Struthio camelus: one gene and its partner. The protein of the gene in region 1 interacts with the protein of each later gene in a biochemical or structural test. Links are inferred from orthologs where the notes say so. Each region holds a gene or a part of one and is shown on either strand. Other genes may lie near its edges. The genes, in order: TRDN and CASQ2.

The links.
Region 2: the proteins of TRDN (region 1) and CASQ2 form a complex in vitro, tested with the Homo sapiens proteins (3 studies listed by BioGRID). The link is inferred for Struthio camelus from reciprocal best matches to the Homo sapiens genes TRDN and CASQ2.

What each region holds. Positions count from the first base shown.
Region 1 is NC_090944.1:67,503,755-67,519,319, forward strand, and holds the start of TRDN (triadin), read right to left. Parts: upstream 7,766-15,565; 5' UTR 7,587-7,765; coding exon 7,565-7,586; intron 1-7,564. UniProt on the Homo sapiens protein: Contributes to the regulation of lumenal Ca2+ release via the sarcoplasmic reticulum calcium release channels RYR1 and RYR2, a key step in triggering skeletal and heart muscle contraction.
Region 2 is NC_090942.1:93,690,223-93,706,292, reverse strand, and holds the start of CASQ2 (calsequestrin-2), read right to left. Parts: upstream 8,065-16,070; 5' UTR 7,577-8,064; coding exon 7,343-7,576; intron 1-7,342. UniProt on the Homo sapiens protein: Calsequestrin is a high-capacity, moderate affinity, calcium-binding protein and thus acts as an internal calcium store in muscle. Calcium ions are bound by clusters of acidic residues at the protein surface, especially at the interface between subunits.

The DNA of each region.
Region 1 (15,565 bases):
CAGGATTTTTAACCAAGACTCCTTCATCCTGATTTCTAGGGGTAAAACTTAGCACTGACCATAAAGTCAAGCAACTGAGCTCGTTTGACTGCGCTTTAGCATATGAGACAGTTTTGGGTTAAAAAAAAAAAAAAAACAATATCTTCTTTTACAGTTTTTTTATTTAGCCTGTTCTCTCTTACATTAGCTCATCTCTTTCCCTCAAATCTAATGAGCCTGAAGAGCAATGCAATTGCTTACTGTGTGTTTCACTATGTTCTTCTGATTATATTTTACTTTTAGGGAAGGGACCAGAGTTACATATCCTGCCTACTTAACTGCAGTATTATCTTTAGATCTTGGAAGAGGGAGAAGGAGAGAAAGAGAAAAGGGAAAACTGTATTATAGAACCAAAAATACACCAGACAGTAGGCAAAAAAGGATAAAATGTGGGACAAGACACATTGGCAGTGTCATTTGATGTATCTGTTGCTAATTATTGGTACCCCTCTCTCTACTGCTAGAGATAGCTGTTGGCTATTTGGTAGCCAAGAATATGCTTCATAATTTCCCTAACAAACTTACATGCATAAATCAACTATGCTATAGGTAAATATCAGCAAGAAACCGAGACCCTAAATCTTACTGGTCCTTTTTGACCGCACGCTGCTTAAATAAACTACCACTCAAGGATCTAAAGTCTGAATAGTCATGTCTCAATGCATTAAGGCAAGATCTATATAAAGACACTGGACTAAGACCAAAATATGAAATAATCATAATTTCTAGTGAAAATGTTTAAAGCTGCAGAGAGAACATGACAGAGGGATCAAACGGATAAGGAATATAACTAGATGGCCATAACTTTAAGTCTTTAGCTACAATGACTTTTCAGTTCAGATCCTCTCATCTACTTCATGTTCCCTGTTATCAATCTGATCTGTCAAAGTAAAGCAGCATGAAGAATATTAGGCCTGTATTCCTCTGTAAAGTTGTCTTTGACCACACCTTTGAATTATTTTTAAATTCGTGTAAGGCGCTGTACAAGTCTTTCAGATATGTAATCACTGTTACTGTTTTACAGCCATCCATACACTCCAACTACTGAAGATATTTCAATATTAGTCTTCAATATTTCTCCTTTATAAGCCCCCATCAAACAATGATGCACTGGGAGATGGCAGAGAATAAAACTGTTGGTGCTTTTCGAATCACAAACCGAGGTTTTTTTAAAATGCTTTTACAAACGCATCTTTTTAAAATTAATATGAAATTAAGAAAAATTGTGCTAAGGACTATATTTTCATAGTACCATCTATTAAAATCACTTTTATGCAAACAAAAAGCTACGATCAGGCCATTAAAGTGATGAAAAAAGTTAAGCAAATCACTAAGCTATTGGAAATCACTTGCTAGGCAGATGGAGCCAAATTAAGCCAGGCAGTTTTTGACAATATAACCTATTTGTAAACGTGGAAAATATTTTCTTCGTTTCAATTAATTCTACTATTTGAACTCAATTACTATCTTATTCTATATCAAGAAGTAATTAGGGATTAAAAGAAAAGAAAATAAGTTTTCCTTCTCTAATCTTTGGATAAACATTATGTGAAAGAAAATGAGCTCTATCATTTATATATTATTGCAGTATGCAGTGGCCAGAAACTAAACTACAAATAGTACTATATTTGTTTAATAAATCACTTAACTTATCAAAATATGCTCTATTTAAAATGAACTTTTGCTATATATCCAGTACATTTATAGTACACAAATAAACAATTTTAAAATGCTGGTTATATACCATTTTAATTGAATTCCAATTTCGATCCTAATGAAGCTTGACAGAAATCAAAAGTGAAAAATAAAATCATTATCTAGTAAAAGGGAAATGCACCATTTACTATTTTCTATCATCAAAAATGTAGAAAGATTTAGAATCTGGATAAATGGTTGATGAACTATATATATATCTTAATAGATAACATGTACAGGATATCTTTCTGTGCAGGAATAAAAAGTACAATTTTAGGAAAAAGATTATATTCAGTTTTCAGTCATGACACTTGTTATCAGCCAATAGGAATCAATCTCTCTTTTCTGCTCTTTTTCCCTAGACTACACATGCAAAAATGAGATTAAAACTGCTGTTTTGAAATCCAAGTTTCTTGTTTGCCGATTTAAATCATGATTAATATTGGTGATTCAAAAGGTTTTTCAGTCATTTGGATTTAAAACAATCCACCCTCTGCTGCTTTAAACATTATTTAAGCTAGTAAAATGAACACTGTCCGCTAGTTCAATCTGCTTAAACAGAGCAGAAACCAGCCAATATTAGCATCAAAAAGAAAAGGAAAGCTTCCTCACTTCTGTAAGCAGCTGACCTGCTTCAAAGAGGGCAGCTCTGGTTTCTCTGTCCTCAGTGCATCCTGGACTGAAGCCAGACCTGCATTGTGAAACATGTTTTAAACTAAACCAGTTACTGTTTTTCAGAGTGAAGCTCAGATTTTAAAGGCTCAATTTTGTTGTAAAAGTAGCATGAATTAGCCTCTTAGTCAGTGTTCTCATTGGAGGTAATGGGGGAAAAAAAAAAACACTCGAAACATTTATAGGCTAGATTTTTTCCAAGGCTTCAGGTAGCTGGAGGTACCTGAAGGCACTTCTGAGAATCTAACCAGTTACACAGATTTCATTTTGAAATCTGTGGGAACTAATTGCATCAATGCTTTGAAAATACTGCTAGACCTTTAAGTGTATTTCTTGTTATATAAGTAACCCTAAAAACCTGTTTCAAATACTTATGAGCACAAGGTCCTTTCAAAAAAAGTGAATACACGATCAGATCAGACCTACAATACAGCTGTTTGCACACAATAAGTGCACAAATGAACTGTGTGCACACACACTTCTTGCTCATTATGGGCTAGCATCACGACATACTAGCTTAAACCTCTGCTTTACAGGTTTTAAGACTCCCTGCTGTCTACAGCTAGCTTTCTTTCAAATGTGCTGCATAAGCTAATGATATTTTGGAGTTTCTCTGTACAATCTGAACATGCGTAGATATTGTACCAGCTGTGAGTAATAATGCCCCCAAATTTTTAAACTTCAGACTTAAGCTAACAAGTTTTACCTTGTGCTTGCTTGCCTGCACAGGCTAAGACATGCTGGCCAGCCTTGAGGGAACCTATTAAGTCAAACTAACCAGCTTAGGTGTCCACTTCACAGGCACAGGGGAATCCAAGTTTAATGGAATTTAAGTGAGAATTTCCAGCTTCTGTTCCTCTCAAAGATTTACCTTATTACGGGCAGTCCTGGGTTTTTTGACTTCATCTCTCCAAATAATTAGGCCATTGACTTGACCAGATACTTTCGAACAAGAGGAGACTAACTCCTTCAAAAAATCATTGCCCAAAATAACATGTGCCAATGGCACATCTTCCCTAACCCTTTGCAGGATCAAGGTGTACAATTTATTTCCCTATTAACATTTGAAGCCAAAAAAAGGCTAAAAGAAAACACCCCTTCATACTACAAAATTTAGTTTGAATAAATTCTGCAGTAACCTCCTAACCCAAGATTTAAACAACAATACAGCTGAAGACTAGGAAATGCTTTAGCTGATTTCAGCCATCAAAATGAATCATCTAATCTAGTTTATTCACCCAGGCCCCTTTTGTAGTCAGCAGAACTAGCACTTCTAGCAGCAATTCATGAATTCCCATGAGAAGTACCAAACTCCTTCCTGCCTATCGTGTGACTTTGCTCAACTTTTACCTACTGAAGACTGCTGTTAGCTTCTGGCCATTGCACTCATAAAATCTTTATAATTTTACCCTCTGGCTCTTGTATATTATTTCTCATACATTATCGGTTTCATCTGTATTAATCTTCAAGCATGCAGATCATGTTAAATCTGCCTTTTGAAACGTTTTACATCTTAAAACTTTTCATACTTATCAAATAGCCTGAGAAAAGGACTGAAATCCAGAAGCTAATTTTGATTTTGTCACTGACAGGCTGTGTATAGCCTCCGGGCTAGCCTGTCTCCTTACAATCTGCTCCGAGAAATAGGAAATGTGCAGTTGCATAGCTCTCAGCAACAAAATAAGGACCAAATTGTGACTCATTGTCACATTTCTGTTTGACTCCTTCTTCACTCTTGCTCCACTGGGGAAATAAGTTGTGTCAGACAAACAGCTGGCATAGAAACCTTGTCTTTCTCCTTTCCTCACCTCCCTGGATTAGATCAGTATGCAACCTCCAGAGCATTGCAGCAGGCAGAGCTAAGGCTCTGTTCATTGCGCCATGTGTAGGAGGATAAGTGCCAAGGGACAGCCATCAACCTTGCACTGTGACCTGCAGTAGATTTGGCTAGAAAAAACCAACTATAGGGCTCCTGCTGCTGCTATTGTGCACATACCGATTAAGCTGTACACTGGTAGAAGCCATTTCTCAGGGATGCCGGGCTTTTTACATTTGTATTGCAGTGATGGCAGTTCTAACTGCATGTGCCATTGAGTCCAATCCAAAGCCCACGCTCATAAACATAGCAGAGTAGCTGAGTTGGATGGCTGTGGTTTTCTAGGCATGCTCAAAGGTGGATCACAATGAAGTCCTTGGCCATTATGGAACACTCAATAACAGCTGAAGTTAATAATAGTAAAAATAATAATAACAACAAGAACAATAATAATAATAAAGCTCCTGAGAGTGTTGCAAAGAGGTAATACCTAATACCTGTACTGAGCTGCCATTTGTACTTAATTTTATGTGATTTCCCATGAAACATTTTCATAGTACTTTTCTGTCGTTGCAATTAAATGTAACATGAGGATACTGAAGAAAATCCTTAGGATTTTTTCTTCCTAAAATACTTATCACTTGGAGACCTAGGTCCTGCCAGCTTTCTGTGGATAAATTGTTATCTTCCCAGATCTTCTTTTGTTTTTTACCAGGTATACTTCACTAGTATATCTGATCACCAGGTAGTCTGTAGCTGTGATATCACGTAGATAGCACAGATGACTTGCAATTAAAATAGGTCAGGGTCATTGCTCAGTGGCTATGTCTTTAAGCTACTTGCTATCATTGTCATTACAGTGATGTTCACCTGAAAGAGCACCCTTTGTCCCCATGCAATCGTGGTATTTACATAGGCTGTTCGAAAAAGATACCTTGAGATCTGCATTGACTGTACCAGTCTGCCAGAGCTGGACCATCTCTCTCTAGATCTGCAGCCAGGCTGTGCACAGCAGTGTTAAGGTCCGCATGGCTTCAGGCACACTGGTCACTGTGCACTGCTCTCTGATATGTCGGTATGGTATCTCAAGGGGCAAGTAGTCTAACAGTCTGTCTGATGTGTGGCTAACAAAATAAAATAGGGATAAGAATACCTATCACAAGGAACAAGCAGTTTAATCCTAACAAAGCTATGAAGATCTCAGCAAATTGTAGATTAGAAGTAGTAATAGAAACAAAAAAAGGAAGAATAAAAAAGCCTTGTATGAAATGAGATATTTTAATTGTTTTTCTATTTGTCCCAGCTATGTGTTTGCCAAAGTTTAGATCTGAATTTTCAGACTACCGTGTAAGTGGCAGCAGTAGCCTCAGAGAAGAATAATCTGCAGTGAAACATTAGCCTCAGGCTGAATTTTTAGCTTTCTGCCATGGGTAAAATTTCCATCTCATGGATCCAGAGTTTAAAAATCAGCCAGTCAGCATAACTCCATTCCAAATATAAGAGAGAGAAAAAAAGAATTGTATTCTCTGGCTATGTTGACCTATCCTGCTGAAGGTCGGATTACTGCAGCACCAGTATATCCATTACCACCTGAAGTCTCTATTGCCTTGCACAGACAAAAGAGAGATTAAAGACACACAATATGACAGCTAAGGAACCTGTAAGCACAATCAGGACATCGTCAAACTATATGTTTTACTGATATATACAAAAATATGTATACATCTATTTTGTTTATATATATATATATGTACGTATATATAATTTAGGGGGTTTTATTTTCTCTTTTTCAATCAGCAAATCCAAGACGTAGCAGCACAGAACAGCTGTGTAGAGATATTCAGTGTAGCTAAGTGATTTACTTACTGAAAAGTCTTTTATGTTTGATATTAATTTTGGACTAAGAATCTTGCTAATTTTCATTTTTAATTAGGGTTCTCTAAAGATGGAGAACCTCCCAGGAGGCACCTCCACACAGTTTATCTAACACTGATGGAGTTAATGCACACACTTCAGAAGACAGATAGATAGAATTTCACAGATTTGCCTGATAACATCTACAAAACAAACAGTGTTTCCAGCAAATCAGGTTAAGAATAACCAAATAAACTAGTTGCTATCATTTGAATTAGGGCTGTCACACTGAGCCACCTGTTTGGCAGTATTTGCTGCCAGAAGTGAATTATAGATCCATGCAACTCCCGACCGAGAAAACAAACCCGTACCCACATCAGCTCTTTGCTGTGGCTAACTGGACATCAGGCAAGAACTGTGCGCAGTTTGACATAGTCTTAATATGAATCCTCTGGGAGAGAATGTTCAATCTGCTTAATGCAGATCATCTTACAAATATTAACAACGAAAAAAAGAAGATGAAAAGTACAACTTTCATACACTGAAACACCACATAACCTTGACAAGTGAAATAAAAATAACTTTCAGAACAATGTTTAAAATCCTTCTTTTTTTATATAGTGTCATTATCAAATTTGGATAAACAATGGCGTGACCCACACTGTTAACAACGGTTAGCATGAAATTCCATGAAAAAATTCAATATTAAATTTGCAGAAGGTTGCATTTTAAACATTTCCTCTGTCTGACTGTGGCTGATAAAATATTGTTACGCATCTAAAATGTTATTTAAATATGAATGGTCAGGAAATATTAAAGTACATGAAATATTCATATTTTATAAGATATATTTATTGGCTAATACAATTGCCTTTCACTCTTGTGGGCCTTGCTCTAGAGCACTTATTTCAGCAAAACTTTCACTGGCTCCCCTGGAAGTTTATCTGAATAAATATTGCAGTCCTGATAGCTTTTACCCTTCAGTAACTTTATGTACAGCTCACAAACATTCTGTGCTTCTATGGAAAAATCAGGGCCACCCAGCTCCCAAATTCTCATTTAGGAAAATCTCCTATTATAAGGGATGATCAGAGATTTACCTAAGTAAAGACTTGAGGATGGAACCGTGCGATTTTTCCCTTCTTGTATTACTCTCATGGAACTGCCTAAGCACCGTTGCTTTGCCTATGAAACTAATGCTATTTTTAGAGGTGTACAAAGATCTAGCTTCAGTAACTAGTATAAACTCTGGTTATAGGAGTGAAAAAGAAAAAAAGAAAAAAAAGAAAAAAGGGGGGAAAAAAAAAGAAAGACAAGGAAAAAGCAATCTGACAAACTAAATAAAATGACCCTACAGTAAAGTAAAATGACCCTACAGCAAAGGTGTTATTTTCTAAGAGCAACAAATCACATTGACACACTAGCTCAATTACACTGTCAAAATATATACAACTTTTGTTTAATTGTATTTGAAAGTAGTTACCGTACCTTCTGCTGTAATCTCGGCCATAATGATGATGGTAAGAGATACTCTGTTAGAAAGGTCAAGGTATATTGTGGCAGCTTAGATAAAACTTCTGGATTGCCGGCTCTTGCAGGAGTTGCAGAACAAAAAGGAAGGAGGTCCTTTGCTTTTTCTAATTCTGTTCCTTCTTCTTTTGTGCCCCTCTGAACTTTCTGTTTCCTCTGCAGACTCCAGCCCACCCAGAACAACCTAAGGCCTTCCAAAGGCAACGCACAGAGCTCAGTATCAGCTTCTAACAAAAATAGCCATGCCTCACAGTGAATCTTCAGCACATTTTTTCTAACATCCTAAGAACTTTTCACACGGTACATAAAAGTAAAAATACCCAGCTCCAAACAGGACAGGAAAGCATGGAAATGCAGCAAAAAGCAAAAGAAATGGGAAGAACTGTTTAGAGCTCCTGCAGCCTCCCTAACCTAATTACAGTTCTTTGGGGTGTATGTTAGGAAACATGAAACATAGAGTTCAAAGTAACCTTATCCATCTCAGCTCAACTTTATTCTTAGCACACTCAGTGCTTAGCACATTCTTCCCTGCCTTGTTTGGTTTGGGGAGGGTCTTATGAAGCTTACCACTGACTAAGGGGGAGGGTAAATTTAGGTAATTTTCTCCACTTCGATTCTTAGTCCTAGTTACAGGGCCAATAGAGACACTTATAAACATATAAATTTATAAAACTGGTAATTCTGGGGAGGTCAATTTTTTGATTCCCTTTTGATTTGCAATGATGACACATACCTTTGAAGTGCATCTAAGAATTAAAAATCACTGGTGAAAAAATAAATAGGAATAGTTTAGTTTTACTATAGTAATAGTTTAAATACTCTAAATGAGTCAAAGTAACATGAAAGAAAATATTAAGAAGATTAGATTTTTTTCCCAGGTCTAATTTACAGTAAAGACAAACTTGGTTAAAAAAAACACTGAGATTGTAAACAAAGTTTTCTAAAAGTGATAACAAGTAGCCTTTAACAAAAATTAGAGTAAAAAATAATTTAAGCAACAATAATAAATGAAAAACCTGAGCAATCTATTGATTGCATTTTTGCTTGCAATCCCACAGTTGTAAGATTAGTGCAAGAGCTTGAAAGTAAGATTAACTAAAAAGTGCCCTCGAGCCAGCATGCCTCTACATAAATGTCACCGTCACATGAAATCAGATGCCATCTTAAACAGTTCTGACTAGGGAACCTATAGTCAGCTCTTCTCCACTACATGGGCTGGCATTTGCACTTCTCATCTTCCCTGCAGGAGATAAAAGCACCTGGCTCTGTGGCAAAGGAGAGGAATCTGCTTATCCAGCGCATAAGATGCAGAAGGGAAGACTCAGTGAACAGAAGTTAATAGTCACCATCAGGATTTCTTTCACTGTAACCCACTTCCAATGCGTCACATGACTAAAAATGTAAAAAATAGCCATTTTCTAGCCAAAGCTTAGCATCAGTACTCCATCCCTTTTCTCCTTCAGCTCTGTTGAACAAATCTTTTGCTCTAACAGCTGTGGCTGCGCAATGCTCAGTGCTCAGTCCTATTCTCATTGTCCTCCTAGCCCTCCCTTTTTTCTTCTTTAGCCTAGGCCTGTCTTTCTGTGAAGATCCTCCTCATTGAGGCTGATGAGAACATTTTAGATAAAGCCTTATTCCTTCAGAAATGCTGTTTCATGAGTGCCTAAATGTTCTGTGGAATCATATGCACAGCAATAAACAGCACCCCACAATAGCTTAGTGGTTAGTAAACTGTGGTAAACTGTGTGATACTAAAGTAAAGCTCCTGTCCTTCTTAATTACTCTATTTTCTTCTGCTGGAGCATTTCCATTTTGCATGAACAATTAAATATTTTGGGTCATCTGTAGCTCCACAGCTAGGCTTGAGATGTGGGACATATCATCTCAGCTGATGCTGAGAGGACCAAGCACAAAGCAATCCATTACCCTGAAGTCAGGATTGCTTTCACATGTATTAACATATGAAGTGAAATAAAATAACAAAGGTTCAGTTTGGGTACATAAGGGGAGAAAATTGGGGATAATATCCAGAACTGAATTTTAGCTTTGCTTTTTGGTTACGTAGCAAGCTCCTGAGACCGTGGGCATCTATGCTTGTTTAATTGTATGTGTATGGTTTTGTGTCCCTCATTGTTTCCATTTTCAGCTCCTACCACGTGCCTTCTCGCCTCCATGCCTTACTTCCTTTACTGCTATTTTTTGCTCAACCCCCAGCCATAGGCTGATACTCTGAAACCAAAATATAAGAGCAGAGGAAGTGAGAGAATCCAACTGGACATTACTTTTCTGCACATCAGCCCAGCGGTCAGAGAGAGTGCTACTTGTTAATTTCTGTATCCCTTGCAGATGCAACAAATTCATTCTGGAAAGCAGGCTAAAGCTGTCATGCACAAATATCTTACAACAGACATAGATCTAGGCAACTGTATTGAGATTTACATAGTTGTTTACTCTTGGGGGGGGGAGGGGAGTCAGGAAAGCTATGTGTTATATTTACTGGAGACAATCACAACCTTTACAAAAATATGCCAGACTATGGTAAACAAAGTTCTGATTTTCATGTGCGTGCATGCATATATGTGCACTCACTTTCAGTAACAAATGTTACTTTCAGAAAATTATAGTGTTATGCTTTGTTCTGTAGGAGATTAAGGAAGGGAAATTCTCAAAATTAGGTTTAGGGCTCGTTAGAAGTTTTGTTAAAATCCGAAGTCTAGCTGCTGGCTCACTAGTCTATGAAATTCAAATTATGCAGAAGGCCAGCACAAAGTTTATATAGCTCTTCATCCCACAGAGTAAAGGTTAATTCCCTGGGTTAATTCCCTGACCTAGGTTACATATTGAAACTGACCCAGAATGCATATGAGTGGGAGCCTATCCTATCTAACTGGATGGAAATTTTGCCACTTTTGAAACATATCCTTCCTCTGTTCTTCTTCATATTATAAATGATAACAATAATGAAAAATTAAAAACTTTCCTTGGTTCTTTCAAGAGATGTCCAAACCTGGGCACATATAGAATTTCTTCCATCCGGTCTTAGTTACAAGATGAAAACAGTCTTGGCTCTGATCTTCAGGTAAGCAATAGGAACTCTCTTCCCACTCAAAGAAGCTACATCTTAAATAAACTGCCCCAGGATCGGATCTCAGATTCAGTGGTAATGGAGAGAGTTATAACAGAAGATTAATTTTGCCTCCTCATACAAGATTACAGAGCTATACAAGTCAGCGTGAAAGATCATAAAACGAACGTTCTCTTTACTCTCTAGCTGCCTGGATAGAGAGCAAGTAGCAATCTTGTACAAAAGAAAAATCTGAAGAGGAGAGTAAGGAAGTCGCTGCAGATGTCTGCATGTGACCATATGCCTTGATTTCAGGTAGTGTTGCATTTAAGTGAGAGTCTTAACTAAAAAATCAAAGAAAAATAATATCTTGAACATTTTATTTTAGGAAAAAGTCAGAGGTTTACTATCTGACAAGCTCTACTACTAACTCCCACTTTTAAATGACAAGTTATGTTGTTTAAATAATCAAAGTAGGAGTACACAAATCCTTTATGAGCTAATTTCTGGGTTGCCATGATGATATTGCTAAAAAAGGAATAGAGAAAGACAATAGATCGCATTAAATTATTAGGTAATGAGAGGAGAGACTTTCATACTGATTCAAGAAAATATTTCAGGGATTGGATAAAACTGTCTCTCAACAAGAAAATGCAGAACAATGTTTGAAGTTATCTGCTAACATGTTACTAAGAAAATCTAAGAGTTCAGTCCTACAAAATCAAACTAAGCAAAAGAAAAGCGTTTTGTATCTCAGTACACACTCAGCAGCACAGCAGGGTCAAGGAAAGGAATCTTATCTTTAACTCTGATATATCTAATGAATTCTAGGAGTATATTGTTATCAGAAAACAATCAGTAATCAACCGGTATAGGCTGAATATAGAAAGGAGATATACAGCTAGGGAGATGATGATTGGTACTCGATTTATGAATACCGGTGAAAGTAAAGATGCATGCAGAAGCGAAGAGGGAATTAGAGCGGTGTCTGTCACTGAGCTATCAGGAACATATGAAGAAAAATACTAATATTTGTTTGGTGCATTCACTAGTTTCCACTAAAAGAAATATTTTCCCTCCTTTTTTTTTGGTTCAGGAATGCTGCTACGTATAGACGTGACTTTCATTAAGTTCCCATTGGTAAGATCGTATGTTATTCTGTAGGAACAGGAGAAGAAATTCACATTCTGGTTCCCATGAAGCCTAATCAGTCACAGATGTAGTTCTTGTGACCTTCTATGGACCTTTACATGCTCTGAAATAATTCTCTTCATTCAGGTTGAAATGTCATGAATAACACTTGCAAGATTTTTGGCATCACCATGTAAGTAAGGCATATCCAAAGTGCAGATAGACCTAAATAAGACCTCGGTTTCACTTCTAATTTAGATTAAAGCTTGGCACAGGTTTAAACATTTTCATAAATCAGTCTGCATCATTTTTCACTGAGACAGTCACATACATAGTACCTTTAAACATTTTCTTCTTTAAAGTGTAGGAGAGAATTAGTTAAACTGCATGGTAAATTTGTCCTGCATGTAATGTGAACTATTGGCAGATGAATGTAGAATACAATTAAGAAGCCCCATCTCTGTAGGCAGACTGGTCTGAATTCAAATCAGTGTCTGCTTGGGGACAGCTGACAAGCACGCCAGGGTCATATCACCCTAACGCTCTGAGCTCATTAAAGGACATTTGACAGGTTAGGTTTCACAGAAAGAAATTACTCTTAAACTACATGATGGAAAGCTAGCAGGTATAAAATAAAATATCTACGACACTGACTATTCCTCCTCACTATAGACAATGCCCCCAATTAGATATTATGCTGCAAAATTGCTGTTGTAACCTCGGCCTAGATGTACAATTGAATAATGAACCATTTTTAACATCAGAAAAGACCCACCGATTACAAAACTATTTGAATTCCAGGAAGCGAGGATGTTGTAAGATACCCTTACTCCATCCTGCAAGCTGGCTGAGTAGAGAGTCAAAGGAGGGAAATTAGATTACAGCAGACCCTTTGCTTAGGAGTGTTTTTTCAATTTTATTTGCTCTAACTGTACTCCATATTACTATGAGTTAGGGTCAGGGAGGGCGTCTATTACAGCATATCAATGTAGACTATATTTGTATGAGCTTTAACAGTTTTGTATTATATAATGTTCCTTTAATTTGTTTTATTCTTGCAATTCTTAATTAATGTTGTTTTATTACAGTCCTTGTGGCTTTACATTCGTATTTGGGAAACTTCTCAGAGGCTGTCTCACAGATAACCTCTCTGATAGTGAAGAGGGGATATCTGAATCTGACCCTTTTTAGGAAGCAATGTCAAAAAGTGCACATTAATTGTCTTTTCCCTCAGGACAAGCCGTGTCCAAGGTTAATGGTGTACATACATAAGATAACAAGCAGCCAGCTAGTTAGTAGAGACATGGGTGAGCTCTGACATAACATTAATTACCTCAGACAGAAATATTGATTGAGATCTGTTCTAACATCCTAATGAACTTGGTGTACTGGCTGGCCAAAAAGTTCTTTCGAAGAAAAATCACTGTACATTCTGTGGCAAATTTTTGCTTGAGAACAGGAAAAGCTTTTCTAAAAAAATGACTGCTTGTTTGAAATTTTATTTAAATCAAGTTTCTGTGCTGAACTCATAGGACTTGGAAATACGTCACACAAAAGACATGTAGTAAAACATCTGAGCTTCTTCTGAGCGTCAAATTTCAGATCCAATTCCAAACCTCCACTGATATATGTTCAAGTTTGCCTCCAGACCTCTTTTTTAAAAAAGTTTCAATAGAAATCAGCATACAAAATATAATTCTTCAGATATACTGCATATTACAAAAAGCAGAAGAAAAGAAAAGCGATTTTAGAGAAAAGCCTAGTTGCACCTGTGTTAAAAGATAAAGACAAATACATATTCTCACGCTAAATACTTTTGAAAGAATATGGTAACCAACTAGTACTCCAAGTGTCTTCACTAATGAGAACCCGCTTTGGGATGTTGGAAACTATCGGCTGAGTCTGACCTTCATAACCAAGGGGAAACCTCACTTTTTTTTTTTTCCATTTTATGAGTTATCTTCCTGCTTGATATTTTATGTTATGTACTGTGTGCTCTTAGACACTGTGGAATTCCCACAGTCACATTAGCAAAGGATTCTCCTTCTAACCAACCCCAGTCCAAACCTCAGGAAGTCCTTCTGCATTTTGGCTCTTGCCAAGGCCTTTCTGTGAACAGTTAGGCACAGTGATATAGAAACCACTTCCAAGCTAAGCACCATTTGCTTGGAAAAAACAGCAGTAGCGTAGAAATAGGCTTAGACAAAGAACAATTATAAGTCGCAGTCCTTACTTCCAAGTTTAGGTAGGCTTTCTTATCCTAGACATCCCCTAGGTGCTACGGATGGTATCTCTAGGAGTGTTCTTGCAGACAGTGTGTCTCTGCTGTACTATTTTTAATGGCAGTTTTTTTTTTTTTTAACCGTTCCAAGGTTTCCCTTTGCCCTAGGACCTCAGAATCTGGTCGAGTCGTGCATTTCCACAGATTGGATAGATATCAGCTCCTGGCAGTAAATTCATGATTATATCTGGCTGAAAATCATTCTTTGAATCCTAAAATATGAAAGGCTGCAGCTGGAATTAACCCTTTATGTGTCACAAAGTCAGTTACCCACCCAGCAATACACAAACTTAAGATGCAAAATACTCAGGAAATATTGGCATCTGTTATTTGTCATAAGTATATAGAGCAACAGATACAGGAAAACGGAGAAAAAATATAAAGCAGGCAAAATATTTCAGTAGTTATCAACTATAGGAAAGAAATCACATGACAGCAACGAGATTTCTGAAAAGGTAGAGTCTAAAAGGAAAAATATGTTTTTTTTAACAGTAGCTACAATTTTTCTTTGGGTTTCTTCTTTCTTTCTGCCTCATTCTAGCCACAGTCTTGGACTGATCAAAGTCAGAATTGCAGATGAAGAACCCACATTATTATTATTATTATCATCATTATTATTATTATTAAAAGAAATCTAAACTGGGAGCTTTTCATTAGGCAATTTAGTCTTTTTATAGAGTGAGAGTGGAATGAAAGAATTAGTAAATTCAAACTTGTCTGTGCTGACAGCTGCGACTGCACTAAAAAAGTTTGTGCAAAAAATAAAGGATCTTTTAAAAGGAGAAATAACTTTGAGCATTAATGTCTTTACCACTCAGCGCAGCAGATATACTAATTTTCCTTGAATAGTACATCACCATTTGTCACTGCCAATCTTATTAGATTCCTGTCCAAGCTGCAACATATGTCCAAAGTCAACTTTCTAATGCAAACCATAAAGAATATTTGTCTGTAAAGCAGTTACCGAAAAGACTTGCTCCTTTTCCTTGCTCCTCCTCCTGTCTTCCTGAAATAGTAGAAAACAAATGCAGTAGAGTGCAACGGTCCTAAAGGGACAGTTCAGCCAAAATCAACCAAACGAATTTTTCCAAGTTCACAGTTTAAAGGAAAATAAAAACATTACCCCAGAGACCGAGAGCAGGAGATCCTCAGCCACAGCCACAGAGCTCAGAATGCAAGGCAAGGACATTGGGGACTTTTGGAAGCTCACGGCTGCATTCTCAGGGTCTGAGGAAACTCTGTGTAACTCTGGTACAACTGGCACAAAGTACAGCTGCCAAGGAACTGTTGGCAGTTGTTCCCTGTGGGGTGAAGAGGCTGTACAGCCTCAAGCAGCAGACTAATGCATTCGACTGCTGTGCCACTGTTAAGCAATCTAGACTGGGACATAAATATTTTCATTGTAAGGGGGATTTCACCTCAAGATAAAGGATTTTGTTTGAGATAATTTTATGAGTCTTGCAAAGAATCTCTAGTCTTTACT
Region 2 (16,070 bases), on another chromosome or scaffold:
AAATAGCTATTCTCCCTCTTGGGTGTTTAAAGAGAATTATCGTATTCCCTTTTCATTCTCCTCACAGATGAAGCTTAGACATGGATGAAGGGCAGCTACAGGCTTTGATTAGCTTGGTTTTAGATGAAGGGAACTAACAAACTAAGCTCTGGAGTAAGGTTGCTGTGAGCAAGAGTAGGACAGCCCACTGTATCTGGTGTGCTTTGCTGAACAACAGCTGCCCCAGCCCGCGAGCAAGTTCCTTAGAAATGTCAAGGTCCAAGCAGAGAGCATGAAATGATAACTATAAACACCAGTAGGCGGATGTGAGCTCAAGTGCATCAATCCCTCCAGTGCATAAGGCCTCCACTTGCAATGCCTTGGACAAGGGCAAAGGCATGTCATTATAAAAGAATGAGGTCCTGTTTCCTGGGAATTAGCCCAGCAGGAATGCAGTGGAAATATTCGTTATGACTTTGCTGGGAACCTGACTGGTGTAGCAGGATGGCTGTAACTTAAAAGGATGGACTTTAAAAGTTTTTCTTCATTTCTTGGGCACTTGCAGTGCTGAATGGCAGAGCGATAGAGGAGTGTCTATATGGCTTGAGGTCTTGCATGGCACCTACAGAGGTTGTCTTCTTGCCAGCAGGACAGTGAGAACAGCTCCTTGCTCCAGAGCTGAGGAAGCCTGCAAAGCCCAAGCAGACTTTGCTTTGCATTGTGTCAGCAAGTGAACCCAAGCTCACAGGGGTCTGCCATGTCTCCAGGTGACATTCGCATAACAGTTGGTCTTTGGATGAAATCAGCTTAATTTTCTTTAGGGTTTGGGATTACAGCTGTTTTCTGCCCAAAGAACTGCTGTCAGCACACCACTCCAGTAGCACTTCAGCAGACACGAACGGTGCCTTTCAAAGAGAGGTGCTGCAGTAATACTGGGGTCGTATATGAAAAGCAGCTCATGCAGGCAGCCCAAACTTTCTGCTGGTGGACTGAGAGAGAGGTTTTAAAGAAAGACGGTAGGCCATCACAGGCAGGGCAGCCCTGGAAATTTTTTCTATGACTATTATACAGTATGGCATAATTGTATACTTGCTGGATCTCAATGTCCCCGTCTACAAAATGGGAGTTTTCTGTAACTTGCTTTTGTCAGTGGGTGAAATCCTCCTAGTGCTGCTGCTGAAAATCAGTGCTCTCTCTCTGCTGGCTGTTGATGAATTGAGACCTACTTGCATAATCTCAAAGGACAAGTAGTCAGTGCACACTTTCCTCTTCTCCTTTTCTCTCCTCTCCTTCTTTATTTTTGTATTAACTTAGCTGTAGTGGCAGTTACTGCTTTAGTTGCCATGGAAACCAAAACCCTTCTTTTATTACAGGTATGTACAAGGCAGTTGCATGGTAGGCTTCTGCACATATCTTCCCTTCCAGGTGTGCCTCATCTCTTACCCTGAGGGCTTACTCTGTAGGGACTTGGAGACCTGACAGTTTCCATGGCATGTTTCATCTCTGGCACCATTTGCTCGCACTGTGAGTAGCAGCATTTAGTCCATGTCAATGAATATGTTTTGTGCACGTGGCTACCCAGCCCAGGAAATTTTACTGAGGTGCTCTCATATGAACGTTTTCAAAGAAAAAGGCTGAAATTTAAGTTTGTGAAACGGACAGACATGGATGCTTAAAGAAAGTGCTTGATTTTGTATTCTCTTGCATGCTGTCTAGAGATGGGGATAAACTAGAATCTCAGCTCCTGGTTCCTATGAATTTCTGGGATAACTTGGTTTTAACTGCACAGATCTAAGCCTGTAGACTTTGTTTCCATGTTGGATGAGAAGCAGAGAGGTCCTCTTCTCTATACGTTGTGTGGCTCTGAACTCTCACAGGAACCACCTGTTCTCAAGAGATTTCAAGACCATATGGGTAGAACTACCCAAAAAACAGCTGATCTTGCCCCAGTTTTTTTCCATCCTGAGCTGGAAGCTCATGAGAGGAGGTGCAGATGTTTGAACACCTGAAAATAAATCCTTGCTCTCAAGTGAACTGGGAGCTAGACACTTTAACCCTGTTCTTTTATTGGACTGAAAAATCTGTCTTTCCCTCTCCCACCACAAGTAGCTACTGGCTGTGCTTGGGCACTAGAAGGGAGATGCAATGTGACCTCATGGACTCATATCCCCAGGTTTGTAGGAGGAATTTTTCCTTGTGTAGTGCATTACAGAATCCAGTAAGTATGTTGTGGAGTTTGACATTGTCTGTCGTTTATTGCCAGAGGCAAGCCTCTGCTCCTGGGGCTGATCTGGAAGGGGACCACCATGTCCTTTTCTAACATCTAATCAAACTGGTTTGTGCCAGGGCAGTTCTCCATGAAATTTCAGCCCAGGGACACTGTTGCATTGAAGGGCCATTTAAGCACAGAGGAGAGGAATGGAGACAATGATCTGCATTGCAGGCAGCCTGCTCTGCTAGTGAGACAACCTCAGTTGCTGGAGAGAGCTTTCCATGTTCAAAAGTAAAGCCTCTAATCTCACTGCTCGTTATTATTACATGGTTCCTAGAGGCAAGGGCTGGCTCTCTGGAAGGAGAAACTATTCCAGTAACTGTGAAGGGTTCAGAGGTGAGAGGAAGAGAGGACAAGATCTGAGAAGTGATGGTGTGAGACAAGAGGAAACGTGGTAGGAGAGCTAGGAAGGACAAGAGAAGCTGAACAGATACTTCTCAGCTTCACTCTTTTGGTCTCCTCTTTTGCCCCTTTTCAGTTAAAGCTGAGACTTCTTCAGGACAAGCTTTTTTTTTTTCCTTGTCTCTTAAATCGCAGAATCACATAACAGTATAGTAAGTAGTATAAATAGTAAATTTGTATTGCAAAGCCTTGTCTCTGGCTGTGTCATCTGCTGCTTCGTTGTGCTCGCTCTGCAGGGCATGCAGGACCCTTGTAAACATTGCCACAGAGTAGGATAGCTACTGCTAGCTCTGCGACTGCCTAGTTCAACCTCTTGCACTGCCCTGTGGGGAGACCTTTCCCCATTCAAGCTATTCAGTGCTATTCAGTAGTTGGTGGGGCAGAGTAGAGGGTTGGGAGAAGGGAAAGCAAAGGAAAAGAGCCCTTTCATCTGAATTGTGCATCAGCCCGCGCTTGTGTAGGCCACGCTGTCTCTGTCCTGGAGTTGCTGTCATTTTACAAAGTCTCCCCATGCTGGCCACTAGGCAGCTGCATCTCCAAACATTGCTTTGACTATTTTCCCTATCGACTAGCTTGACAGCCCCTGGCTTTCCTACCCGCCACCTGAGGGGCTGGCACTGCTATCCTTGGAGCTGTTGCCATGCGCAAAGGTTGGTGCCAAGAAGCTGCTGTTGCTGCTCCCAGAGGGGCTCAGTTGCCCCAGGGCCTTGTTATCACCAGGCAGCAGCTAGCAGAGGTGGTGGAAGGAGCTGCTGTGGGGGCTCCCTGCCAGTCTCTACCTGGGAGGAAGGCTTGTTGCCTCAGCAGGAGTCCTTTCCCTTCCTAAACTGGAAAGGGACCCTAGACTGCGTGGGAATCCAGTGATGGATCCCAGTATACATGGGTGTGGGGAGCTGAAGACTGGGTGAGCTGTCCCATTGGTGGTCAGGTAGTCAGGTGAATGATGGCATCCCTTTTCTGGAGATGTCTGGTGTCCAGCCAGTACTTTTGGCAAGGGCAGTCCAGCAAGCTGGGCTTCTGTTGTGGGAAGGACTTAGAGGAAATTTTTGCTATTTTAACAAACGAATGGAGTGCTCAGGCTTGGACATATGCTTTTCTTAAGCAAGTCTCTCATAGGCCTGAAGCTCATCATGTCAGGCCTGCGTGCTGTCAGGCTGTGCCAAGTCTTCACAAAAGCTGCACTATGGCTTCTGGGGAAAATATTATTTCTTCTCACTCTGCTTTTTGTAGTTCCAGTTTGACAAAGTCCTTAAATATGTGCTTAATTTTACTGATGTGCTGTCTGGTTTTCAGCCTGATTTCCTAAGGAAATGAGGCCCTTGTTATTCTGCATGCTCGTGCTCTCCCTCTCCAGTCTGTCTGTCAGTTACCTCCGCTAATAATTTTTCAAGCTATTAGTCCATTTCAGCCAAATCTTACAGAGGCAGAAGTCTTAAATATGATTAAGTTCTTGCAAGCTTCATGAAGAGCAGGAACTTGGAAAGGAAAGGACTAAAGTGCCCTGAATAAAGGAAACGTTGCTACATGAGCTCAACCCTTGTTAGACTCCAGAGAACCCGCATAAGAGAGTCTCATGGGTTTCTCTTGGGAACGCACACATTTCAAGGGAAACCATGCTCACAGTGAAGAGACAATTTCCTCCTGGAGCGGAGGAGTGTCTGTCAAAGTCTATCTTGCCCTTAGGTGCTTTGTAGCTGTGGCTTTTCTCACATGCTGAAGCCTAAATCAGTGGTTGGATCTAGAGTTGAACTGGTAGGCACTGCTGGTACTTTTGCTGTGCAACATGCCATGCCATCTACTATCTGGACACATCTGGACGTTTCTGCTGGCATATGTGCAGGTACTTGGGCATCAGATCTCTCCTGTTCTTTTCTTGGCATCTATGATGTTTCCCGAGGCCTTTGATCTTCTGTTTTTATAATCATAAATTACTTATAAGGGGCTTAATGACTTGGTATGCATGTGAGAGAAACAGAAAGGGTGGACTATTTGGGGGCTTTTTGGACTTAACATCCATTAAAGTCATTGTCTTCTGTGCGTGCAATCACTCACGCTCTTCAAGAAATAGCAACAACCCTCAACCACCCACATCAGAGCTTTGCCTAGCTCCGCACCTGGCTGGGTTTTGGTCGAAGACTCCCTCTTATTCCTAGTGAGGGAGGTCAGTGCCGCTTTATGGAAGGGAAACTAAAGACGTAAATGTTTTCCAGGCTGTGGAAGCAGCACGTCCCATTGTGAGTCAGCAGGTAAATTCTCTGTGCAGTAAGATGGAAAAACATTAGATTCTCCCGAAAGGTGTCTTACCACAGCCAGCCCTCAAGTCAGTTGGCAGGGAACACCAAGGGCTTGAGTGTTTGCCTCTTAGACACCTTATTTCAGGATCAAAGGGCCTTCCTTAACTGAGCATTCAAGACACTGGACCCTTCCCTGAAAATAGACACATAAGGCCTTCCTTGAGTGAGGAGCACCAGCCAACTCTTTCCAAATGTGACTGGAAATTGAGGCCCTCTCAATACTACTGTGCCTAACCAGCAGCTCAGTATTCAAAGTATGTGCTCGAGTTATGGTAGGTCTGTGTTCAATTTCTGACGGCCTCCAAGGAGATTGATCCAAGGTATTTCATCTCCCAGGTGAATGACTTCACACCTCAGCCACAGAGCCACTGTAGCCGTTTCTTTCCCTCTCACTGGTCTGGTGAATACATGTGAAGTCAAACAGTGCTGGATGAGCTCCAGCAGGAGAGATGAGTGATCCCCAATGCACAATAACAGTGCGGCTTGGTGGCCAAACTGCCTCCTGGGAGGTGAGGCTTTGAGCTCTGTCACAAGGAGTGGATTAAAACCTGGCTTGCCCACACCATTCATGAGCGCTCTGATGGCTGAGTTAACCCGGAAATTGGGAGCTCCAGCATCTTGCTGGGCTGTGTCCTTTGTAGGATTTTGTCTCTTAGGTGCCTTCTGAGACCATCTCGCAGTCCAATTCCCTTAGGTGACATAGGCAAAGGGGTACTGTCTGTAGACTGCTGTTGTGCTTGGGCTATGAAATTGCTGCTGTGGCTCCCAGTCCAGGGAAGACTGAAACTTTGAGATGTGCACTGAGTCAGCATTGCAAGTGCTTGGGAAATTTTGAGGTTAAATCCACAAGTGCCAGTAGGTGTATGCCATGGTCAGCTGGTAGCTGAGCATTAGCGAATTGGAACATGACAATTATGTAAAATCTGCTGTGGATCTAACCCCTAATCTCTTGCCCAGATAGACTTCTGCTAAGAAGTCTATAGCAGAGAGGTGATTGGAAACCAAATCTCCAGAGTCCTTCCTAAGCTAACGTATACACTGCAGAATCAAACCCCACGAAACAAAAGCTTTAACTCATATAGTACTACAATCATTGCACCGTTGATACGGCTAATTGTTAACATGGGTATACTTGTCATGAGTATAATCTATAGGACGCAACATACCCGCTTCTGTCATGATTCTATAAATATGTATTTAGTAACTGCTTGCCATATATGTAGTACAAAATAAGTACCCTATTAAATAATAATGCAATTATACTAGCAGGCATAAACACTTCAAGGGAGTCCCAGGGTTATCTTTTCTTTTCTTTGCCAAATGCTAGTTGAGCATTCACCTGGAGCAATTAACTGTTTCCTGACAGGTGAATAAAATCTAGTTAGTTCTGAAATCTTTCTTGTTATTAAGCTTGCTGAGGGGGTCAGCAGATCTTGAACTTGGCATTGGACTTTTTTAGGTCCTAGCCCTCAGGAAGAATGTTTTTGAATCCACAATTGCTGTTCTTATAGGAGTGCAATGCATTCTTTCCCTGGATCAGAATAATAAAGTTTATGTATTTCTTTTGCAGTTCTCTCTCTTTCCAAATGCCTCTTTTAGTTAGGAGGGAATGTTCCTAAGCATCTGGTAGGAAGTGAACCCCTAACAATCCAGGCTTTATGCTGTGTGATCTCCTAGATTGCAGCTACGCTATAAGAAAGAATGCTATGAATCTACTTTGTAGTTTTTACTGTGATTTATTTTACTGAGGACTACTTCATCATTCTTCTGCCAAATAATTAACAATACTTTTCTCCAGCACCAAAGTGAGTGATTGCATTAACAAGCAGCTACAGACTGATTCCAAGTAGGCAACTGAGTGTCAGGAAAAACAGAAAACGGATTTAGTGTTGCACCAGCTGGGACTTTTTGAGAAGGGGAGCTAGGACGCCCTTTTGCAGCACAGTTTAATAAGGGCTTCTTGGCTGATTGCTCCTAGCGGGATAGAAAATGGGACTGAATCCAGAATACAAGGGGAGGGGGAACTGGCTTGCATAAACTGAGAAGAGATCTAAAAATTTCAAGCTCCATACTCAGATCTGTGTGCAGACTTAGAAAAGCTCAGTTGGTCTGGGTTTGTATTGCTGAGGTTTACAAGGTTATTTGGTTTTGCCTGGGATTCTGACCTACGATCCAGAGGGGCTATTTCCCTGCAAACGATTAAGAGCAGTGCAATAAAGGCCTTTTTGGGGGGCTTCACAGAACCCCAGGGCTAACTCAAACTCAGGTAAACACCCAAACCTTTGGACGCTCCCCCCCGGCATGATCCTTTGACTGTCCTTTCCCACGGCTCCTCTCCACAGCTCCAAAGGGTGCTGTGGTATTGATCCTTGCTGAGACATGCACCGGTGCTTACCTCCAGGACCATCTCTGTCATCTGGAACTGCTTCTGGGAGACTTTGTCAGAGCCCACAGGCTCATGGAAGAGCAGGCAGAGCATGTCGTACTTCTTCAGGGCCTGCTTGTAGTTCTTCTCGTTCAGGTCGATCACTCGGTCTTTCCCATCATAAGTGGGGAAATTAAGTCCTTCTTCTGCCTTGCAGCAGAAAAGCAGGTAAAAACCTGCCAGAATCCAGCAAGTTGCCTTCATAGGGAAACCTCTGGAGCGGAGCAGAAGGCAGGTGAATGTCTCTTCTATCTATTTGGAAAGAGAGGGAGACCAAAGACCCCAGGTAAAGTTTGAACCGCGTTTCTCTGTCTTCTGCCTTCCTAATGATCAGTCCAAACTCTGCAAGGTTGGTGGGAAGCAGCAAACTTTGCAGTCCTGGGCTCAAAACAAAGAGACAGACAGGAGAAGCTGTCAGGCCAAGCCCTGGATACCTTACATAGCTGTGTCCGGCTCCCGTGTCATTAGGAACTCCATTTTTAGGAAGCAGTTGTTTCAGGCTAAAAATAAACCCTGCAATGAATAAAAAGGACAGATATGACACTATTGAGGGACTTGCTGGCACTCTGCAGCATCTGAGCAAGAGGGAGTGAGTGAGAGGCAGTGAGTGAGTGGAGGATGTCGACGCTGGGACTATGCAGGCAGGTTTTATGAAGGGACAGGCTTCACTTGTACAGAGAATTAAGGCACAATCTGCCCTACTAGGACTTAACAAAAATAGAAGATTTTTACTGTGTTTTATAATAAAGGTGTCTTTCTTTGTAACCACTTGGGCATTGCAGTGATTAGGCATGGATAGCGGATCTTGGATTAAATGATTTAAGAGACTGCATCACTAGAGGCAAAGACACATTTCCTCAGGCAGCAAAGGAGGTGAGAGCTCATGGGACTCCCTTCTCCTCCTGGGGCAGCAGCCAGTGCTGCTTGCTTAAATTCAAGTTGTTTTCTGAAGTGCTCTCTCTGCTTGCGGGGTAGTAGGAGAATTTCTGGCACGTGAACCTTCTTCTCCCAGCTGTAATCCCAAAGCAGATGGAGGGTTACGTTGCAACCTTCCATGCCCAGAGCAGTTACCAAGCCCCAAACTCTGTATAAGTAGTTAAAGCTTTGTTATGCTGAAGGCAAGAGGGGCAGGAGGCGGTGGCACACACTCTTGCAGGTGGCTTGGGGCAGTGGGCAGGGATCTCCTCAGGACAGTGGACAGGTGCTGCTGTCCCTGTGGGCCTCCCAGCCTCTGTGACCTGCCTGATGTGTTTGTCACACAGCTCCATTGAGTTTACTAGCAAGTGATTCCTCATATTCCCTCCCTTTTCGTTGCCCAAGAACAGCAACCAGTAAATTCCTTCTTTTCCTTGGGACCACGTTCCTGAGGTCTCCCCCTAATTCCCCAGGGTCTCAGGTCTACTTACTGCTTTCCTTCTTCACCTGCATCAAGCTGCTGAGGGAGAATGGTTTGACAGCGGAGTCTTTCATGCCTTCCTCTCCTCTGACATGCGTGTCATCACTGCCCCATTACTGGCAGCAATGGGGATGTAGAAGCAGGCCTGCTGGCTGCAGGTCAGCGCCGACAACCGGGGGGTGACATTGATCTGCTGGAGAAAGTATTCTGAGGAGGTGGCAAAGCAGAGTTTGACAAGGGGCATGGGTGTCTCCTGTACTGAACTGAGGTGCAGACACATGGGTTTACTAGACCTCCTCATGGTGCCCAGCCTTGTGTGTTGCTCCATAACACCTTTGCTCTGTCCACTCCGAAAAAAAGATGATCTCTCTTCCTGGTGCATACCGCTCTTGCCCCATCCAGCTCTTCCCATTTAATTGCATGGCTGGGAGATTCCTGTATTAGTTTGGAACAAAAGGTGAGTGCTACTGAACAATTATGGCTCTCTTCTGAGTGACATAGGAGCACATATCCCCCTTAGCTTCCACTAGCAACATGAACAGCCCATGACATGCTGACTGAAACTTAGTGCAAAAAGTTCAATGTCTAACTTGTCTCCAACACCCCTTTGCAATTTCTGGCCATGCTTTTTCATAGGCTTAACATATTTCTGTGATTTGATGTCCTAATGATAAAGCTTGAGAAAGCTGAGAAAGGAGTGGTTATTTTTAGAGGAGATGGGATGAACCTAGGATAAAACTAATTGTTTTAGTGGTTGCTGCAAGACTCTCATCACAATGGGTGACAATGACTTGATAGACGCTTGCTGAATGCTTAGGCTGTAAAACGTGGAACTGAGATTGTGGGATGATCGGGCACACATCAGGTTGGTTGCTTATCTTTGAATAACTTAATGCATTGAGGTGCAGGAATAAGCTTCCACTGGCATCACAGTGTGTTTGAAATCAGACACACATCAGATAGTGCTTTAAGAATGGAACATTCACAGGTACTTCAAAATCAGCTTCCCAGACTCCTGCCCTCCTTTTATTTTTGTAGATCTTTAGCAATTGCTCCATTTTCATATCACTTAAGCTATTTTTAATGTGCTATCTCTAGTCTTTTTAATCTGTCTTAAAATAGACATAATCTAATTTTCATTTTCTCCTCTTTTTGCTATCGGAAAAATCACCAAAAGGATTTTTTTAATTGACAAGAAGTGTTGATTTGTTAGCCCCGAATCATCTATTTAAATCATCTGTTTAATCTGTCTGTAGTACGAGTCGCAAAGATCTCTCACTGTTAGGCTTCACCTATGTCCTGAAGGGAGTTCCTCTAGCAGAACGACATTGGATGTCATGGTCAACAGAGAGTACATCTCTTTGTCTCTGCTCAGAACCTTAGTGGTTCTTAGTGGGATTGTTTATGCTAATTCCAGGGGACATTTTCTGTACTCTTTTAGTTTTAGCTGCATTCAGTTGAAATTCAGGATACCTTGTTCCCTAGTAAGTGGCTTACGTGTCTGTATGCTTCTCAGGAGGTAGAGTTTACGTGTTTGACTTAGAAAGGAACGAACCTGTGAAGAGAATCAGGATAAATTCCTCAAAATCTGAACAACAGTCTCAATCACCTTAATTTTTTAATTCTTACGAAGTGGAGCTTTAATCAAAGCAGATGTTCTCCTTGTAATCTTGCAGGTACAGATCTGAATTGAAATCCCAGATTCATGAGTTCTGGGGTGTTCAGGACAGAAGTACTTGAGTCTAATACAGAGCTCCTTATTTGCCTGGAAACCTATAGGATGCCAATAGCAGAGCTGAGACTGAAACAGAATCTCCCATACTCTGACAAAGGCCCCAAGTACTGTTTTCGTCTCTTCATCTGACCTCTCTGGGTCTTGACAGCAGCCTACTGAGTCATGCTCATCTCAGCCCCGAAAGCAAACCTCTTCAGGAGTTCAAAGCTGTCCATCTGAGTTCAGACAGTGTTTTAGACCGGGAATTTTGGGATAGACTTGCTGTCAAGAAAAAGATAGGGTGTAGACTTCACGGATCTGGGGAACCAGGGTTTTGTTGAAGGCTCATTTCTACAGGATGCTGACATAACGTTTCTCTGTATGCTAGATCCTCTCTTGCAGAGTAGGAGTAATAGCAGTTCCCCATGGAAGGGGAGGATGGAGTGGGACAGCTACTCTGTCAAGTCTTGGATTTTGCATTCACAGGATCATTACAAATGCTTCATGCTATCCTCCTGCATAGTTCGAGGTCTTCCTCTGCCCATGGCTGCCCGTGGTTGCAACACTTCAAGTTCTGTGGCTAGTGACATGCAAGGGAATGGTGTTGTCAGTGCTGTGCCTCGCAACGCTTGCCTCCCAGCTCAGATAGCTCATTCCCTAGCAAAGCTGGAGTCCAGCAGTCTCTGCCATAAGTTGATTGCAAGGCTCAACCTCCTGACTCCAACTCCTTAACCAATACACTTCAATCATTCTGTTACGGCACCTCTTAGTTTCATGTCCTGCTTCAAGAAATTGAAACAATGCTCTTCCCCAGCTAACCATCCCAGAGCCTTCCACCTGGAAGCTCTCTTAGCAAAAGAGAGGGAAAAAGAGAGAATTGAAGGAGAAACTTGCTGTGGCTTTATCCACTATTCTAAGTTTTTGGGGGCATATTCAGTGAGAAAAAAATCCTGGCTCCACGGAACTTGGCTGGAAAACTTTCCCTGAGAGTTGAGATAAATTAAAATCCTAACTCAATAAAATTCTATTTCTTTGAAATTTTTGATGATAGGTAGCCAGCAATAGTTATAGAATAGGACTGCTCAAAATAGGATAGTCTTAGGCCTTCACTTCAGACTTGCAGAAGTGCAGGGTGCCTGATAGGGAAGTAGAATAAATAATGATCTCCTCCTTGTTGGTTTTTTTTCCAATTTATACTAGAAATTGGGGATATACACTGGCTGCTCCAGCCTCCTTGCTGCTCCAGCTATATTCCTCACTGCTGTTCTCACCTTCGTTGTCCTCTTTAGCCCACATAGCAAAAGAACTCCCCAGCCACTGCTGATCCAAATGCTTTGGTGAGCCTTTTTCCAGGGCTTCAGGATTTAAGGTTCTGCTTATGCTAATCTCTTTTCAAGCTTCTAAGACCTTGCATGTTTTGCAAGATAGGAATATCCAGAAAATATGCCTTTTACTAGCAGCTGGACTCATTACCAGGGCTGTAGCTAGCCAAGTAAGGTCACAGTTTGTAATAACTTGTAGAATATTGCTGTCGTTAGGACAGGAGCATCAGAGAAACACTGAGTCTTTCTGAGGAGACAGAGAGATTCATTATCATCTCACAGAAACTTCTGCGGTGCAAGAAAACCTCATTCTCTCTCCACCCCTTCCCTTCAACCCTGACTGAAAGGGTTGAAAGGCGACAAGCCTTTCAAGGTGCTTTACACTGCCTGCACTCTGATGCAGTCACGTCAGTGATGGCAAGTACAAGCAGTTGGATCATTCTTTCCTTTTTTTCCTGTTTTAAGATGCCAGGTATCTTTGCAAATAGGGCCTGATGACACTTTGTATATTTTGACCAAGGTGTCCTGGGACCTATAGTGTGATGAGAAGATGCTATAATCCCTCCTGTTTTTGACATACAGACATGTTTTTGGATGAGGAAAATAAAATGCAGTGCAGACAAAAGCACTTATGCAAAATTATATAGAAATTGTAAAGGGAAGGTCAACAAGATGACACAGGAGTTCTGGCTCACACAGAGCCACATAGGGTTGCTACTTATTGACATGTCAAAGTAGTGTCTCTTTTAGACACCTTGTCACTCACAGTGAAGTTGCTTTGTGCTACTTTATAGGGATTGTTGTGCTTCTCTGTCTTTGGAAATTGGTTTGGGACAAGCATCTTATGCAGGTCAGAAAGTAGTTTAGAAGGTGCCCTGGTCAAAAAGTGCCCTGGGCTGTCCCAGAAGGATTGAGATTGTCACCTCCTAATGGGTTATAAACCTTACAGAGCAAGGAGGATTTTATCTCAGACACCACCTGGGGCCAAATGGAAATGGACCCAGCGGCATGGATGAAAACAGGTGGGAAGGAGAGCAATAAAGTGAAAAGGAAAAGCATATGGAGAAGCGCTGGGAAGCAGAAAAGGCTTAATCTTCATGGAGAGTCCTAGAGAGGCCTTATATTTGGCATGAGTGCAGGGCTGCACTTAGGTGTCCCATTTCTCCCTGTACTTCTGTCTGCAAGAACTCCCATCTCCTAGGGTGGAGTAACCGGCACCGTGCCTAAGGAAGGTGGACCCAGATTTATTCACTGTGTCACCAACGGAATAGGGCTTGTATCACTGCAGAGCCCAAGCCCCCTGTTTGCATGTTGTTGCCTCTGCGGGAGTGGGCATAGGGAAGCTATGTTTGTAGCTGTGCTGATCCAATTAAGCAATGACTTCTTGGATCCCCAGGAAGGCAGATTTGTTTGGGCAAATGACTTGGCTTTGGAAAAGACTTTTGAGCAGGTATCTGGCCTTCTGGCTCTTCCTAACCTGCAAAGAAGGAGATTTAACTTTGCCACAGCCCGGTTAGTAAAATCCTCCCCTCACTTGTAAGGGCCCTAGTGCGCTGGGGTCCTACAAACGTCCTGCAGAGCTCTGCTGATCACACTATGCTAAACTAGCCCAGCAAGAGACCCAGCCCACGCTGCTGCCAGAAATGGCTTCTTTACCCACCTTCTCTTCTGCAGCACCTGGGAGCGAGGAAGAGGTGTGACACATATTTAGTGCTGGGGCTTTCAACCTTTTTTTGATTTATGAACCCCTAAAATCATTCCAGTGTCAGTGCAGATCCCTGCATAATAAGTTTAAGTTGACTGATGAGAGACCTTTTCTCCTCAGATACCTCTGACACACCCTGTTTCAGAAAAACTCCTGTGCCACAAGCTGAAAAACTCTCCTCTAGACAAATAACATGGCAATGGGAACAGAGCATGCTTGTCCCACAAAAACCCTCTCAAATTTCTTGTGAAATTACTACTCTTATCTTGAGTAGTGTACAGTTTACCCCTCTCATTTATCTTGCTCCATTGCCCTTCCTTCTTCTCCTTCCTCTGTGTCTCCCTTCTCACCCCACCCTTTTTTGTGTCACATATAACAATTGAGGAGCTAAAGCAGCAACTTAAACACAAGATAGGCAGGGACCAGAATCTCCTTTCCAGTGGAAAGGCACCGGCATGTGCCCTAGCAGGAGGGTGCTTCAGGAGTAGGGGAAGATGGCCGAGGGTGGCAGATGGTCATTCAAGTTTTCTACTGCTACAGGCTTCCCAGGTGACTTTGGAAAAGTCCATCTGTGTCTCAGTTCTCTATGCAGATAGCACGGCTCTGAACAGCAGGGTCAGGTGAAGGTAGCTGGGTTCGAGGTGCTTGGACATTAGACTGCTGGTGGTTGGTGCTGTAGGCAGGCTGAGAGCACGGGCCAGGTCCAGGTTCCTGAAGGATTTGGTGAGTCACAGAGCTGGTGGAGGGGAAGCAACTGCTACTGGCTACGTTTACAGCAGAGCTGGTTCAGAAATCTGGCCACACATGTTACTGAGAGAGATGCTGACGACTGAGCTCTGGGGAATTGCTGCAAAAACCAAGTGGCCAAGAGCCAAGCCCTGAACCTCCCTGAAAGCTAGGCCCAAAGCTGGTATCCTGAGAGCAGGGGTGTGAATGGATTTAGGCTGAGCTCTGGCCCAAGGAGCCCAGGAAATTTCTAAAACTAGCTTAGGCTAGACCCTAAGAAACCACCACATGGCTTAACATCGTGTGTTCTCTTTTGGAAACCCTTAGGCCGCACATAGACCAATCTAGCCATTTCCCTCTGGTTCTCTGCCTTTTTCTTGGAGGAGAGGGAATCACTGGACTCACGCCTAGCTTCACCTCCCACCTGTGCTCAGTCCAGCAGGAGGAGACAACAGGATAAGTTAATGCATGCGTTAACTGCTAGTGCTGCTTCAACTCAGCCCTCCAGGGGCAGGGTCTGAAACGATGATCCTGCACCCGGCAGTGCTGAGCTGGCCCGGTCTGGGATGCCGTTCTCACCTTGGGTTTCTCTGTGTTCCCTCAGCCACGAAAGTGCCGATATATTTAATACGGTTCTGAGGATCAGATGGGACGGTGGGGTTTTAATTTAGCAGCGTGGCTTTTTCTGCTGCTGACGGAGCTGTGCCAAGCAGATTTACACCTGTTGCGCTACAATTGCAGCTCTGCTCTCCTGCACTCCCCTGCTCCTGTCCTCCTGTGCTGCCTTTTAAAACCACCCTCCCTCCTTGCCTGGAGCAGCCAGAGACCGTGACGTCTGCCGGGTTTCGCTGGGTGCAGCTGGCAGGGTCAGGGAAGCGTTGGAGTGATCTCACTATGTCACCAGGAATTTCATTCCATTTTGATGATGAGCTGGCCAAGCTTAGCGCTCTCTTTAATTTGGTAAGGTGATAGAACAGATTTACTGCTCTTGAATTTCTGCTCTGTTTTGACCTCTCTCTTCTCTAACTGGACTTAGTACAGTCTGGGGTAGCCTTGAATCTCTCTAAAAAGTCTATTGGCACCTGTCAGGCATGCGTATTTCTAGGGTGAATAGCTTTCCAAACAGTTTCAATGTCTTGCAGTCAGGTCTATGGCTATAGTCAGGTCTATGCAGCACGGACTATGGCTTGAAGCAAATGTAGGCATATGGTTTTTTATGTTGGGCAATTTTTTAATTCAAATTCTTCTATGTGCATAAGCCCTCCTGGCAGCAAAACCACCAGAGATACTGGTGGGATACAGTTACATAGCATTTCCAGGGATTTAGAAGTAATGACTCAGGTATCTCCTTCTCTCAGATCAGTAAGTCAGCCTAGAAATCAGGAGATCAGAGGAGTGTCTAGCTTGGGATTTTTTTTTTTTTTTCCTGGCATGGTAGCTCCAGAATTCCCCTGCTCAAGCTTTTCTCTGCAGCCACAAAACATAGAAAAAAGCTTCTCTATTTTAAATGGAAGCTGAAATGTTTGAGTAGTAGCATGAATCCTGTAGCCAGGGAAGACTATGATAATCACAAACTACATGATAATATGGTGAAAGCTAGCAACGAGATGGAGACCCTGCACAAAATGAGACTCTTCTGGGATAGCTGAAAACTGATGTTGCATTTGATGGTGAGAAGAGGCATGTCTCTGCCCTACTGAAAACGAGCTGCTGCCAGCAATTGAGGGTGCTTAGCAGCCTTCTGGCTGGAGGACGCATTTCACAATGCCTTTTGAATCTTTTTGCGGCTCTCCTTAGATGCTGCCACCTGCGCTTGAAGTAACACTGGCGTGTGT